Tamandua tetradactyla: one gene and its partner. The protein of the gene in region 1 purifies or fractionates together with the protein of each later gene. This does not show direct contact. Links are inferred from orthologs where the notes say so. Each region holds a gene or a part of one and is shown on either strand. Other genes may lie near its edges.

Evidence for each region.
Region 2: the proteins of PPP2R2D (region 1) and CDCA4 purify together in Homo sapiens (affinity purification with mass spectrometry; 3 studies listed by BioGRID and IntAct, counting the BioPlex papers as one, with this or other methods). This does not show direct contact. The link is inferred for Tamandua tetradactyla from reciprocal best matches to the Homo sapiens genes PPP2R2D and CDCA4.

What each region holds. Positions count from the first base shown.
Region 1 is NC_135339.1:94,499,124-94,506,902, reverse strand, and holds the start of PPP2R2D (serine/threonine-protein phosphatase 2A 55 kDa regulatory subunit B delta isoform), read right to left. Parts: upstream 3,014-7,779; 5' UTR 2,987-3,013; coding exon 2,980-2,986; intron 2,898-2,979; coding exon 2,805-2,897; intron 1-2,804. UniProt on the Homo sapiens protein: Substrate-recognition subunit of protein phosphatase 2A (PP2A) that plays a key role in cell cycle by controlling mitosis entry and exit. Involved in chromosome clustering during late mitosis by mediating dephosphorylation of MKI67.
Region 2 is NC_135340.1:87,618,574-87,626,655, reverse strand, and holds the start of CDCA4 (cell division cycle-associated protein 4), read right to left. Parts: upstream 3,093-8,082; 5' UTR 3,021-3,092; exon of another isoform or gene 2,957-3,020; intron 1-2,956. UniProt on the Homo sapiens protein: May participate in the regulation of cell proliferation through the E2F/RB pathway. May be involved in molecular regulation of hematopoietic stem cells and progenitor cell lineage commitment and differentiation.

The DNA of each region.
Region 1 (7,779 bases):
CACCTTCCAGGCAGTCCGATGACTGATGACCAGAGGCCTGTCACCACTGTCAGTCAACATTCTTGCTGCCAGCAGGACAATTACTAACCTTCTTTAAGCCCTGATCTCCTCCTAATTACAGAGAGAGAGAGATGGGAAAACAATGATCTCACACACAGCATTACTGACTCTTAGCACTAAGGCTGACCTGACCCACAGAAAAACCCAATTCTTAAAAAAAACAAGCCAAAAAATACATTTTACACAGTCCAATACTTTCATCAGGAGTTATGATTAAAGAACCTAGAAATTACTAGTTTTAAAAACAAAAAGGAAACCAAAACCAAAAGCCTCTTTCCTTTTTATTCATTCCACAACCTTCAAAGTCAAAAGTGCTTACTTTTAACCCCTATTCCCCATCCTCTCTAAGAGCTGTTGTTATCAAAAGAAGAAACGGACCCAAGCCTCAATGTCCCTTGGACTTTCTTCTTCATACCTATCCATCACAGGGAGACGCAGAAAGACAGTCTAAAGTGTAAGATTAAGGTCGAACTCTGGGGAGTAGTTTGAACCAGAACAAAACCTCAAGAGCAAAATACCTCACAAACCACAAATAAATTTTACTACACCTTCAATTGTTCAGTGAAAGTTGCAGCCTCTCCTGAATCACTCATTTCCTATTAATTTCCTCTAATGAAAATTTCTTTCACTTCAAGGTTGAGTTTGAGACACAAATTCTGCAAATCACATTACCCAACTTTCTAATGATTGCTTTTTCCTTCATCACTAACTTCTATGGTAATAATGCAATTCAAACTAGTAATATCAAAACCATTTGACAAAATGGTAGTGATAAATGTGTTAACCGCAATCAGTTACTCAAGTTAAACATATGGATTAAAACAGAAAGCTTCAAACACATACATTAATTTAAAAAGTGGGTCATCACCACAAGCAATTTAGAAAAAGTCAACAACCTGAATTATAAAACTTTTAGAGAATTAAAAATAAGGGTTTGAAATTGCAAAAACTTCCGATCAGTTTAATTTAGAGAACAAAACATTTTTGTAATGATTTTTAAAGAGAATAATGCCATTTTTGAGATGTCACATTCAAAAATGTCACATTCAAAAAAAAATACACACGCACACTCTACAAGGACATGGGCTTTATGGGGAACGCGAGGGCGGCACGAGAGACTCCCAGGTTCCACACCCCCACATAAGACTCTGAGCCTTGGCCCGCGGAACGCTAAAGTCACATTTAATTTTAATTCATTCAGCTTGGTGAAAAAGCTTCTAAATGAGAAAGAAATGGGAACTTAGAGCAGGCATGAAGACTCCTCACACACACACATACTCCTTCCTCCTGAGATAAGTCACTACTTCATTCCAGTGAGGCTCAGCTCTCACTCACCTGGCACATGCAAAATGAAACAAAAAGAACAACTATGTCCAATTAATATAAAAGAAACAGAATCTTCAATAAATTAGTTATGTTATATAAAATCACCTAGCTTCAGCTTCAAGTCCTATACATCTTTACAAATTTCTTTGAGGAGAGTTTCCTGCTTACTAATACAGGCACTGACGTCTCCCGGGGCCAAGGATCTCCAGATGTCCTCAGGGTCATGCGTCAAACTAAACCCTGCCGGGGAGAGATACAGGGTGCAGGGGGAAAGGTTACTCAAATGGCCAAGGTGGAGGAAAGCTGACAAGACATCTGACCAGTTTCTTAGGGGAGGGAAGATGTACCTGGGGCAAAGCACTAGCCAAGGTAAATCACTTTTAAGAGAAGAGTGAAAGTGCACAATGTTCAGCAAGATGACCGAACACGACACAAAGTGCCCTGGCTTTAAACCTGAAACAGAGTCTCTAAGAATCACTTCTACATCCAACTGTGTTTAAGCACACATGTTGCGTGCATACACACGCACTCTACAAGGACACGGGCTTTATGGGGAACGCGAGGGCGGCACGAGAGACTCCCAGGTCCCACACCCCACCTAAGACTCTGAGCCTTGGCCCGCGGAACGCAAAGCTCAGGAAAGACATGCCCACGGAAGCCAATGCCCTGAGGTTCAAGACTGGCTCTGCGGTAAGGACACTCAAAATCCAAGAACGTGAGAAGCTCAGAAAGGACCTGAGAGCTCGGTAGCCAAGCTTCCTTTCTGAAGATGAAGAAAGCGAGGCAGAAACCCTGGCGAGGACAGCCCGGGGGTTCGCACAGGGCTTGGGCCTGGAACCGAGACCCCCGACCAGGCACCCACTCCCCCGGCACCGCCGCTCCGCATCTTTCCGCCGGAACAGAGACCCCAAACGGACTCCTCGACGCCCCAGTTCCTGCCTTTACGTCCTCGGCTCCACGAACGCAGAGGCCGGCACTGACACGGCAGACCACCGGGAACGGGTTGGGAGGACGCGGGTTCTCGCCCAGCTCCACCCTGCCCGGCTCGGCGACCTCGGTACCTACATAAGCCCTCAGGCCAGCCGCGTCCATGCCCTCCCGCCCGCGAGCACGACACGTCGGCGAGCCGCGCCGCGCCACGTTCCCCGGAGGCTTCCCGCCGCCGCCGCCAGCTCCGCGGCCCCGGCCGGGCCCACCCGACTCGGACGCGGGCCCACGCGCGGCCAGCCCAGCCCCCGGCCGGCCCGAGCGCGCAGCGACGTCCCGGGACGCCCGGGCCCACAGGGTCGCCGAGCAGACGCGCCGCGGTGCCGCCCGGAGCCAGGGCGCGCTCGGGACAGCGCCTGCCGGGCCACGAGGCGCGGCGGCCGGCCGAGGGCAGGAGGGCCCGGGGCGCGCCCCACGCGCGGGCGCCTTACCTTCGGCCACGTCCTCGTCGATGGCTCCCTTGACCTGCGAGAAGCACCACTGGAAGTCGTTGCCGCCCGCGGGGCAGCAGCCGCCGCCGGCTCCTGCAAACACACAACCCGGCGCGTCAGGCGGGCCGCGGCCCCCGCCCCGGACTCGCCCCCGGCCGCGGCGCGGGCCTCTCACCTGCCATAGCCGGCGGGCGGCGGGCGCGCTGAGGCGGCGGCGGGGGCGGCGCGTCGGCCGCGCCGACTGCGGCTGACGGGAGGAGGCGGCCGCCGCGCTGCTGCCGCCCTGGAATCTCAGCCCCGGCCGCCCAGCCGCCGCCGCCGCCGCCGCCTCCGCCGCCGCCGGGAAGTGATTTTTTTTTTTCCCTTTTCAAAATGGCGCCCAATGCCCGTCGCCCCGCTCGATGACGTCATCCCTCCTCCGAGCGCGCCGCGGGCGGGGGGCGGAGCTGTCCGGGGAGGGCGCCCCCGGCGCGGGGGCGGGGCCGGCACGGCCGCGGGGGCTGTCGGGGGCGCTTCGCGCTCCGACGGCGCCTGCGCACAATCCACCGCGGGCCGCAAGCCGTGCCCCGCCCCCTAGCCTAGGGCCACGGCTCCGCCCAGGGCCGGAAAAAGGGACTCCTCAGTGCCGTGGGCCGGGTTCTTGCCCGTCGGGTTTCTTGGCGTCTGGGGTGACCTAGTGCTTGGGACTCAGTGACAGGTGCTCCCTGGAAGACCATCAGTAGGGCCGCCGCCGGCCTCCTGGCTCTCTCAGAGGGATGTTAGAGAGCGCGAAGCTCTATCCCCAGGGACTTGGCGGGTGGGCCCGGGTGGTGGCCGCGACTCTAGCCCCCGGGCTTCTCCAGAGGGCGCGCCCGCCCGGCAGTGCTTCACGCACGGCCCCGCCCCTGCCGGGCCTCGGCCAATGGAGGCGTGGTCCTTCCGCGAGCCCCGCCCGAGATGCCTCGCCTCTACCCGGGCCCCGCCCCTTCTGGGTCTCGGCCAATGGAAACGCAGTACTTCCGCGAGCACCGCCCCACATGTCTCGCCTCTACCTGGGCTCCGCCCCTTCCGGGCCTCGGCCAATGGGAACGCGGTCCTTCCGCGAACCCCGCGGCGGCGTAGGTCAGGGCTGCCAAGTGCCGCGCAGGTCAGCGGCTCTCGGCCGGCTGACCCCCCTCTTGGACTCGCCCCACTGCGAGCTGACCCCCTTTAAGCTGACTCCCTCCCCGGGCCCTACCCCGCCGGCCGGCTCTGCGCGTCCTGCTGTCTGAGCACGCGGAGCAGGGACCGTCCCGGTCCTGGGAGCCTGGGAGCGCGGGCTCGCTGCTGTCCGACTCTGGGGGACTCCCAGGCGCGGGGAGCCCTCGCCTACCAGCAGCAGGAAAACTTTCGGCGTTGGGTGGCCACGGTGGCTTAAGTTGCAGAGTTCTCGCCTCCCATGCCGGAGACCCGGGTTCGGTCCTCGTGCCTGCCCATGTGAAAAAAAAATTTTTTTTCGGCGTTGGACCTCCGCTGGGCTCATCTTTTTTCCTAGCGGGCTTGCTTTCAGAGGCCCAGGGACAGGTCACCGCCACTTAGGAGATTTTCGGCAAGCGAAGCCGTAACTGCCCTCGGGGTCGCCATGGAGTCGCAGTGGCTGCCTCACCCTTCTGGAGGCCGAATGTGGGGATCCCCGCGGAGGTGTTCCGAGCAGTTCCGGCGGGTACGCGGGAGGTGGTGCGCTAGCCGGGGGTCAGTGAGGAACACAGCGGGTAATGGAGAAAGAAAAATGTAGAAGTCAGACCGTGTTACATAGCAAAGTACTGAAAAAAAAGGGTGTGCGTAGAAGAAAAAGGCAATTTTTATCAGGGTGTGTATTCCTTTTCAAGAACCACTACAGTGGTTCTCTTTGCCTTGCTGGGTGTCCAGGCCGAGGCTGCAGGTCACCTGCTCAGGCCCTGGGTGCCTTTCCATCCTGCTCCGGTGGTGGGGGCCTGCTCCCCTCCCCCATTCTCCAGAGTTCGTTACCTGCTGAGCTGTGTGGGACTCCGAGAGCATCGGGTCCGCAGAGTCATGGCCCCCAAACGCGGGTGCCCTGGTCCCCAGGAGTCTGTGGATTATCCACCTCATGTGGCAAGGGGGACTTTGCTGCTGTAACTCCACAGCCCTCAATATGGGGGGGGGTTTCCCTGGCTGACCCAGGTGGGCCCAGTGTGATCAAAAGAGCACTTAGGAGAAGAGCCCTTCCTCCAGCAGGGTTGGCGAGACAGCGATGGGAACTGCAGGGGAGTCCGAGCCCCCTTGCTGAGCCCGCTTCTGGGAAGGCCTGGGGTGGGGGAGGCAAGCCACCTCGGGGGGCCAAGGCAGCTGGCACGGAGACCTCAGGCCACGGCCAGCAGCGAGACCAGGTCCTGCCAACTGCTTGCAAGGGTTTGGAAGCAGGCTTCATCCCAGGGCTCCAGAAAGGACTCCAGCTCAGGGGACCTCTTGATTTCGTCCCATGAGCTGCTCAGTGGGGAACTGGCTGCCATGGGGTCCCCGGCCTCTGACCTACAGAACCATGAGGTGACAAACGGGTGCTCTTTCCAACCCGGAGGCCTGGGGTCCTTTGTCACGGCAGGAGTAGAAAGCGAATGCGAGTGCTTATGCAGAAACAGGTGTGCTTGGGTTGCTCATCTTGCTGGCCTTCGCCATCCTGGGGACTGGGCTTTTAGTTCAGTCACTGACTGAGTGTCACCTGCCTAGTATTTGCGTGGCAGGGCCATGGAGCCACGTCTGGGGGCCCGTGGGGGCAGGTATGGGGGAGAGCCCACCTGTGCTCCCCACTGCCTCTGCTCCCAGGGGTCCCACGAGCACCCACAGAGCACTTTGCCTGCTTTCACCCAGTGCTCAGGAGATCCCACAAGCAGATAAGGAAGCGATTTGCCCAAGGCTGCATGACTGCTCAGAACCACAGCCCAGGTCTGCCCTCAAGGCCAGGCCCCTCAACCTCGAGACCGGAGGTTGTAAAACGTGAAGTAAGGTAGGACCCAGCCTCTAGGGGAGAACCTGCACTTGTATATTTATGGAAAGGGCAGGTGGTCCAGGCAGGCTGCTCATCCTAATGCCTGGGGCCTGGGTGGGGAGAGCGCTCTCAGTGGACTTGGAGACGTCCTGCGGTTGCTTTGTACCCCCCATCCCAATTCGATTTTGTGGGGCCCATGGCGGCCCGCAGCCCTGCTCTGTCCTGCATGCCCCTCCCCTTTCCCTCTGCCCTCAGAGCAGCTTCAAGGACCTCGCAAGGACCAGCCTTCCTCCTGCCAGTTCCCCAGCCCGCCCTAACCGGGTTTTGGCGTTCTCTTCCTCTTGGGGAAAACCGGATACCTAATAGCATTGCCTTCCAGAAGTCCATTCAAAGGCAGCCAGGGTGGGAGGTATCTCCATGTGGAGCCGGGAACAGAGGGTTGCCAGGTGGGAGCGCTGTGCCCCCGTTGTCCCCCTGGATTTTCTCCTATCGGGCAGGGACTTCCTTTCCCCAAGGGCAGCCCTCAGGTCAGAACCAAAGAACGGACCACCGAAGCGTGCTGGTGGAAGCTGTGGTGTGCCCCAGAAGAGCCGCATTCTTTAATCTACATTGAATATTGCTGGGTCGGAGCTTTTTAATTATCCATAGAGATGTGACCCACCCAACTGTGGGTGGTAACTTTTGATGAGGTGGTTTCCATGGAGAAGTGTCTCTACCCATTCAAGGTGGGGTTGCTTCCTGGAGCCCTTTAAGAGGGAATCATTTTGGAAAAAGCTTTAGAGGCACCAGAACCAACAGAGCCCACAGAACAGGCAGAGCCCCGGGAAGCCACTGAAGGGAAAGCCAGCAGATCTCGCCATGGACCTTTCCAGCTGAGAGAGAAACCCTGAACATCATCAGCCTTCCTGACCCAGGTGTCTTCCCCTGATGCCTTAATTTGTACATCTGCATAGGCTGACTTTAATTTGGACATTTTTACAACCTTAGAACTGTAAACTTGCTATTTAATAAATTCCCTTTTTTAAAAGCCGGTTCATTTCTGGTCTATCACATTCTGGCAGCTTCTTTGAACTAGAACACCAAGTCCTCACTCTTGGGTTAAATGTGCAAATGATGAAGCACAGGTGTAGGAGGGAAATGGGGCAGCCACTAGCCAGGGCAGCCTCCCCAGGCTTCCCAGGCCTGGGAGGACAGCAGACGCTGGGTGCAGTCAGGGTCTTCCACCTCCCTGGCTGTCTGCAGCCCACCCACGGCCCCCACGGATGACTGCATCCTAGTTCCTGGGACTGGTGAATGTGGGAACAGGAGGGAGCTGCGGGTGAGGTTAAGTGAAGGGTCCGAGATGGAGGTGATACTGGACCTAGGGCAAGTCTGAGGGCATCACAGTGGTCCTTAGAAGCGGGGGCCGGGACCAGAGCTTGTAGTTTGTAGGCACACCTGTGCATGTGCACAGTTTGTAGGTCCACGTGTGTGTATGTATGTGTGTGTGCATAGCATTTGGTGTGCGTGTGTGTGCATGTGCATAGTTTGTAAGTACATGTGTGTACGTGTGCATAATTTGTAAGTGTACGTGTGTGTGTGCACGTACATAGTTTGTAGGTGCACGTGTGTGTATGCATGTTTGTGCATAGTTTATAAGAGCACTTGTATGTATGCGTGTGCATAGTTTGTAGGGGCACGTATGTGGATGTGTGCACGTGCATGGTTTGTAGTGCACGTGTGTGTGTGTATGTGTGTGTGGATAGCTTGCAGGTACACGTGTGTGGATGTGTGAGCATAGTTTGTAGGTGCACGTGTGTGGGGGTGTGTGCACAGGCACATTTTGTAGGTTCACGTGTGTGTATGTGTGTGTGCATAGTTTGTAGGTGCACGTGTGTGTATGTCTGTGTTTGCATAGTTTGTAAGTGCACGTATCTGCAGTAGATGTGTGTGCACATCTGCGGCGTGCCTGTGCATGTGTAGGGTCCCATGGGGCTTGTGGTCCCCATGAGGGGCCCCAGCAGCAGGCAAGGA
Region 2 (8,082 bases), on another chromosome or scaffold:
GAATCTTCCACATCACGTAAAAAAAGTTCCTGATTCTGGGCGGGCCACAGTGGCTCAGCAGGCAAGAATGCTTGCCTGCGATGCCAGAGGACCCGGGTTCAATTCCCGGTACCTGCTCATGTAAAAAAAAAAAAAAAGTTCCTGATTCTTTCCAGTAGCTGCACGTTCACTCCAACCTATGGAGGTACTAGAGAACCGCATGTCACCACTCGCCACAGCCTCGGCACCACTACAGCTCCCCCGGTACCAATGGCACTGTCTCGTGGCTTTGGGTTTGGACACTGTCAGCACCCGATTCCTGAGCCTCCATCTTGGACTGAGGACGAGGCAAAGGGGGAGAACACATTTAAGGCCCCTCACCAACCTGTCAAACCGGTTTCTAGGAAGTGGGGGGGGGGGGGAACGACACAATTCACTCTTCCACCAGTTTTCTTCATTTTTTCACACTTGCTCACTCCCACTTTACCAGCCTTTACAAATTGCCCCCCTTCACAGTTAAGACTCCGTCCCCTTCTGACATGTCTGCAGCAGCCCCTCTCTACAAGCTGAAGGCTTAAGGCCAGCTGATGGTGGGGGCAGGAGCACTGACTGAAAACCTAAAACCACTCTCCACGTCGCCACTCCTGCTTCCCCCTGAGCCTTGACACACGTATACTTTAAAAACCACTCTGAAGCTTCACCTTTCCAATGTCCCAAATCTTCAGTAATCATCAGCTTTCTGTTATATCCAATGTAAAAGGTGCTGACAGATGGATCATTCCAAAGAGGCCTTCAGGGCAGCTGCCACCAGCCTGTCACCTCCAAGGGCTGCCCTGGCTGCTGGACTGAGGCCCTCACAGTCCTTCCTCCTTCCTCGCAGGCTGGACCGGGGAAGGAGCCAGGCAGTACTAATGTGTGGGACAAGGTCAGCATGGGGACTGTCGTTGAGCCCGCTTCAGTCCCTCTGGATCACATAAAGGACAGAGGGCCTCGTCCTTGGAGGTGGCCTCACGGCAGGGTCTGGCTCACTGGGCAGCTCCCAACAGCATATACCAGCTGTGACCCACTCCCATTCTGTCACCACAGAATCAGCTGAATGCCCAAAGCTGCCAATTCCTTGGGGTGCCAGTCTTCCACCTAAACCCAGGAGGTCACCAGGCTCACTCCTGGGTGAAAAGCAGCTCTGCCCCTTCCACAAGCCCAAGCATTGGGCAGGCTGAGCAAAACAGGGGACAGCGGCCTGGGGCCAAAGCCTCGGAGAGCAGGACAGCAAGAGGGGCTGAAGACCAAGTGTCCTGCCTGGCCCGGGGAGAAGTGGTGCTGACCCCAGCCCCTGGCGCTGGACCCACAGGAGGTAAATCAACACAAATTCATTTCTACGAGTGGATTAGAGCTGCTTTGAAATACTTCACCAAAGAGAGAACAAGAAGACAAGCCTTGCAAAATGCTGAATCTGAGTGACAGGTACATGTATATGTGGGTTCACTTTCCTATTGTCTGCCTGAAATTTTTCACAAGCAATTACTAGAAAATTAGTTTCAAGGGCTTTTGTCACTTGGAATGAAACACTCGAACTTCCTTTTGCCTGAGACAAACCGTGCCACCCTCCCAAAAAGGAAGGCGGCAACTGATCTGGTCTGGATTTGAATGAAGTGTGATAAAACCTGAAAATGTAGAGTAGCTAGGATGAGGCTCTGGGGCCCTGCTCTTTCCACACCCTCTCGCGCCCGCACTTTGTCTCCACGTGCCCGTGCAGCTTGGACTAGCCTGCGGGGAGGCAGGCAGGCACAAGCCTGCAGCCACCTAATGCCCGCACCATGGGCTCCCTGACAGCCCGACAAGATTAGAGAAGGCCCCACTGCAACACACCCGAAACGGGCCTCTTAAAGCAATCCAATCTGGAAAAAACAAGGGAAACTCACCAAGCCAGCCCACCCTGTCCCCTAGTGTTCCAGAGAAGGGGGACCCTGGCAGGCCATTTTGGAAGGTGCCTACATCAAGAGGCAAAACCCACTTTTGCTAACAGGACCAAAGATAAAATTCAAGCTCTCTACTGCTAAGAACCCACACCCACACCTCACTCCACCTCGGGGGAGGCCTTTAGGGATGAAATACAAAGGGCAACATCTGGCCAGGATGAATGGGTGGGTGGATGGGTGGGAGAGAGGGAGGGAGGTAGAGGAGAAAGGGAGGGAAGGACAGATGGGGAATGTATGTGAGGATGGATGAACAATGCACAGCAGGCTAAATGGACAGATGGCAGAACAGGTAAAGACAGACAGATGGTGAGACCCTAAGGCAGCTGCGCAACTTTCGGGTCATGGCTATAAATTCAAGGCTGAAGCCAGAAGGCAGGGGACCCCGGTGCCGAGCAGGGCAGGAACTGTCGCCCAGAGCAACTGAGGATACAGGTGAAGAGGACAGTTGGGGGCCTTTGAGGAGGCAATCTCTTCACACCCGGCCAAGGAAGTGCACTTAACTTTTGTCTTTGTTTAAAGTCAACAATTTGACTGAAGCCATGGGCAGGTAATATCTTTTTATTTAAAATGATAAAGGCTGGGGAAAATGAAGACATAGGAACCCAGAGGGGATTCCCAGAAGACTGATGACTCATGCCCGGTGGGGGGAGGTGCTGGCTTTCCCGCCCGCGCCGGGTGGTCGAGCTCGCTCAGGGCCCTTCCGGGGAGCCCCACCCCGCCCCCCGTCCCACACCGCCCACAGCTCCAGGCAATGCCGCGAGTCCCTGAGAGCCCCGTGCCCGGGGAGAGACCACCCCGGCCGCAGGGACCTCCCGGGTCCCCGCCAAGGTGAAAGGCCCGGGTCCTCCGGACGCCAGGGGCGCGGCTGTCGGGACGACGGGGCCTTGGGCGGAGTTGGGGCCTCGGGAGTATCGGAGACTGGGGGTGTCGGGGCCTCGGGGGTTTCAGGGCATCGCAGCGTCCTCCGGACGCGACACAAAGGCGCGCCGCGGACCTACCTCGAGCGCGCCACCGGACCCCGGCGTCCGCCCCGACCCTCAGCCCCGCCGCGGGGACGCTCACCTGCGCGCCGAGGTCCGCCTGCCGCCTGGGCCGCAGCGCGCTGGTGCCTAAGGAGGGCCCTCCGGGCGGGCGCGGGGCGGGGCCGGGCGGCCATTCGGCGCCTACAAAGTGTCACCATGGCGCCGCCGCGCCGCGCGCGCCGATTGGCCGGGCTCGGGGGCGGGGCCGCGAGTTCGAACGAGGGGGCGGGGCCTCGCTCGCGGCTTCCCGCGCGGGCCGCCGCGGCCGTTGGCCCGGCGCGGGTTCCTGGCGGAGCTCGCGGCCTGCGGGGCGGGCCTGGGCGCAGGCCGGTGCCTGGTGACCCGCTGAGGCCGCCGGATCGCGCGGGCCGGGGCTGGACGAGGGAGAGAGGGGGGAGTAGAAATTGACCGGGAGCAGGAGGGAGGGGGGAGGAGAAAGGGGTGGGGGAAAGAGGGAGATGGGGAGGGGGGAGGAGTCAGAGGAGGGAGGGGAGGGGAGGGGAGGGGGGGGGGCGAGGCTCCGGAGGAGGGGCGCGGAGTCCAGCGGCGCCCTGGGTGGCCTGGGCCCTGCGCTCCACCCCGGCCACTCCGGCGAGTCCAGACGCCTGGGTAACCCCAGGGGATTCCCAGTTCTACAGGGAAGAAATGAAAGCAGAATCCAGGGGAGACTGTTTGGAAAACAGTTTCTGAGTGGAGAAAGTATTAACTAGGATGCAAAATCCTGAAACTACTGATCACGAAACACTTCTGAGCCGTGCGCCGCGCAGACCAGGAAAGCAGCTGCACCACACCAAGGCGCTAGGGGTGGGGGGCTGGCAGGTGAGTGTGCACCACCTGCCCAGGGCCGGCTGCGGCAGAGGTCTGTGGGGCCTGGGAGTGAGAGGGTCACCACTAGAGGGAGGGCAGAGGGGGCCAAGACTCCGAATCCCCGTTGAGAATGGGCTTTGGAGATGGTGGAGGGAAGAAGGAATAGAAACTCCAGTTAGAACGTTGCAGGCTCCCGTGAGAGATAAAAGAACTCTGATAAATCAGACGACATGAAAATTTTAAGTGTGTGACTGTCAAAGTGAAAACTCTGGTTCAGAAAAAACATCTCCTAGCCATATCCCACGCAAAGAATTAAGTTCCTTAACCCACAGACATTCTGCAAATGAGAACAAGATAAACAAGGCAGTAGAAAAATGGACAAGGATATTCACCCACAGGATCAGAGCAAAGAAAATAACAAGTGCTGTGATGCTCTTAAACAAATGAAAAGATGCTCCCCTCCTTTTCACCCAAAATGTATAGCATCCAATAAAAATGTAATATGCATGCCAGGACACAGGACCAAAAATGGACAGAAAAATAAGGGGAAAAAATAAGAAAAGACTTATGGGTGACTAAGTTATTGGAAGTTTTAGATTCTTAAATTAATGTCTACCCATCTACCTACCCCCCGTCAGGCATAAGTGGCAGAGTTGCCCGCCCCCCCCCCCCCCCCCAGCATTCTGGAGTAGCTGATGAAAAGCAGTGATCAATGAGCAGACCACACACCCGGATTTGGGAGGACTAGGTCCTTCTAAGCTCACCCTACACCAGCAAGCTCCCCAGGAGCCAGGGCTGCAGCCCCCATTGATGCCTGCCATGTGGTTGAGGGGGTGGGGGTGGTAACCACTGCACAGGGTGAAATTCAACTTCAGATACCGCAATTTACCAGCCTCTTTTTCCAGCTTGTTACTGAATGCTGCACAGTGTTCCTCCAGACTCCAGAGCTCCACAATATTGGATTCCGACAGTTCTTATACAATCATTCTTTTGGTAAAGGGACTGATTCCTGAAGTATCCTACCCTTCTATCTCCCCACAGGCCTCCTTGTTTGACATATTGATCCTTTGCTAATGGTATGATTTAGAATTTTTAAATTTTATAATGGTTACTTGTATATAGAAATACAACCAATTTTCCTTTATTGACCATGGGTCCATTGATCTTAATTATTAATTTGAACTTTTTTTTGGAGATTATTTTGGATTTTGTACAGTCAAAGTATCTTCTAGGAATTATCTTCTACACAATTTTATTTCTTCTTTTCAAATCCTCATACTTTATTTCTTTTTATTTCCCTTTATGCACTGGCTAGGTCCTCCAGTACAGTGCTAGATAGAATTGGTGAGAGCAGAAATCTTTGTTACATTCCCAATTTCAGGAGAAAGGTTTTAAGATTTCACTGTTCATTATATTTTCATTAGATTGTTTTGGTAAATACAGTTACTCCAATTGAGGAAATTCCCTTGGATATTTATTTTGCTAAGTATTTTATCATAAATGGGTGTTGAATTTTATCAAATGTTTTTTTTTTTGCACCTTTTGAAATGTTCTTATTTTTTCCTCCTTCATTCTGTCAACATGGTGAATTATGTTGGTTAATTTTGGAATGTTAAATTAATCTTGCATTCCTGGAATCCAGCTTGATTGTGATTTATTATCTTTTTCATATATCACTGGATTTGTTTTGCATGTATTTTGTTTGGAATTTTAGTGCCTATGTTTCTGAAAGAATAGCCTACACATTCTTCTTTCCCATTATGTCTTTTAGTATCAATGTTTTGTTGGCTTCATAGAACAAGTCATCATCAGTTCCCTCTTTATTCTCTGGAATACTCTCAATTTACAAATTTACCCATCTACCTACCCCTGTCAGGCAGAAGTGGCAGAAGAGTCTTAAAGAGGCAGTACTAAGTTTTTTCTCTTTCCTCTTTCCATTTCCATTTGGGAACAAAAATAGTTTGCAAAAGTCACAGATCGATGGCTCCAGCCCTCAGCAAGAACAGCAACAACAACCACAGAAAAAACAAACAAAAACCCAGCAATCCAAGAGGAGTACAAGAACTAGATTTCCAGAGACATAACAAGATAATACTCAGAAACCCCAGTGCTCAACAAAAAAGTGCAAAAACTTGTGAAGAACCAAAACAGTATGGCCATTCACGGGAAAAAGAGAATTTGCCAGAAACCACCCCTTATGAAGCCCATATATTGAAACTGCTAGCCACAACCTTTAAATCAACTGTCTTAACTATAATGAGCTTAAGGAACCATATGCAAGGAACTAAAGAACGTTAGGAAACACGTCTGAACAAAATAAAGAAATGGAAATTATAAAAATGAACCAACAAATTTTAGAGCTGCAAAGTACAATAATCAAAATGAGAAACTCGGACAATCCAACAGCAGATTTGAACAAGCAGAAGAAAGGATTAGAGAACTTGAAGACAAGACAATTGAAATTTCCAATGTTAGAAGCAGAAAGAAAAAAAAAATGAAGAAAATGAACAGTACCTGAGAGTCCTGTTGGATACCATTAAATGTACCAACATATGCATCATTGGAGTCCCAGAAGTACATGAGAGACAAAGGGGCAGAAAAAGTATTTGAGGCTATAATGGCTAAAACCTTCCAGATCTGATGAAAAACATGAATGTGCACATATCAGAAGCTCAATGAGCTCAAGGCAAGACAGACTGTAAGAAACTGACACCCAGACAAATTGTAGTAAATTTTTCAAAATCCAAAGACAGAGAGGATTTGGAAAGAAGCAAGAGAGAAGCAACTCCCCACAAGGAATTCCCAATCAGATCAACAGCAGGTTTCTCATCAGAAACCATGGAATCCAGAAGACAGTTGGATGGCACATTTAAAGCCCTTAATGAAAAAACTATCAACAAAGAATTCTGTTTGCCAAAATTATCTTTCAAAAATGAAGGAGAAATTAAGACAATTACAGGTAAAAGCAGACCTTCCCTACAAGAAATGCTAAAGGAAGTATTTGGGGCTGAAATAAAAGGACACTAGATAATAACTCAAAGCCAGAGCCATGTGTGCTGGTTTGAAACTGTTGTATACTCCCAGAAAAGTCATGTTCCTTAATCCTGTTTCAGTATTGCTGGGTATGATCTTTTTTATTGTTTCCATGGAGATGTGACCCACCCAATTGTGGGTACCCAGTTGTGGTACCTTTTGATTAGGTGATTTCCATGGAGATGTATCTCCACCCATTCAAGGTGGGGTTGCTTACTGGAGCCCTTTAAGCAAGAACCATTTTTGAGAAACATTGAGAGCTCACACAGACAGAGAGATCCTTGGAGATGCAGAAGGAGAATGCCTCCAGGGAAGTCCTTTGAAAGGAGAAGCCTGAAGATAAAGCTAGCAAATGTCACCTTCTGCCTTCCCAGCTGACAGATGAGTTCCAGAACCATCAGCCTTTCTTGAATCAAAGTATCCTTCTCTGGGTGCCTTACTTCGGATTGGTTAGAACTGTAAAACTTGCAATTTAATAAATTCCCTTTTGAAAAGCCATTCCATTTCTGGTATGTTGCATTCTAGCAACTTTAACAAGCTAAAACATCGTGGGAAGAAATGAAGAACATCAGTAAAGGTAACTATAGGAAAATATATAAGCCTGTATTATTGCACTTTTTGCTTGTAATTGCTTTTTTCCACTTTAGCTGGCAAATGTGTAAATGAGATTTAAAATCTATGTTAATCAGCAGAGGTAAATAATGGTGTGAGGGACAAGAGTTCAGAGGAGGTTTAGATTTCCTATTTGGCGAGGGTGTGTTCATTAGTTTTCTGTCTCTTGGGAACAGTGAAATTATCTAAAATTGAGAATGTTGATGGGCTGGAGACTTTGGGCCCTCTACATGATGCCCAATGAATGCAGGTGGTTGATGGATGCGCTGATTGAGAAGTAGATTGGCAAAATACTTATGAACAAAGGTTGTGCTGCTACATAAAGGAACAATGTCGTGAGGCATGCAATGATGTGATTGAACATGTGGGACATTTGGTGAGACAAAATAAGCCAGAAACAAAAAAACAACAATGTTATGGTCACCTTTACAAAATGCTTATAAGAAAACAGTGGACTAGATTGTAAGCTTTTAGAGCAGACACATTAAGTTCAGAGTGGTGATTATTATTTCTGCATTTTGAGAGGCTGTTTTATATATATAACCTGATATTTAGGGATAAAAACAGAGCCAAACAGGTTGGGGTTAAAGTAATTCAGAACATAGGGGTACGTAAGACAGTGTCTACATTTTAGAACCATACATACTCTT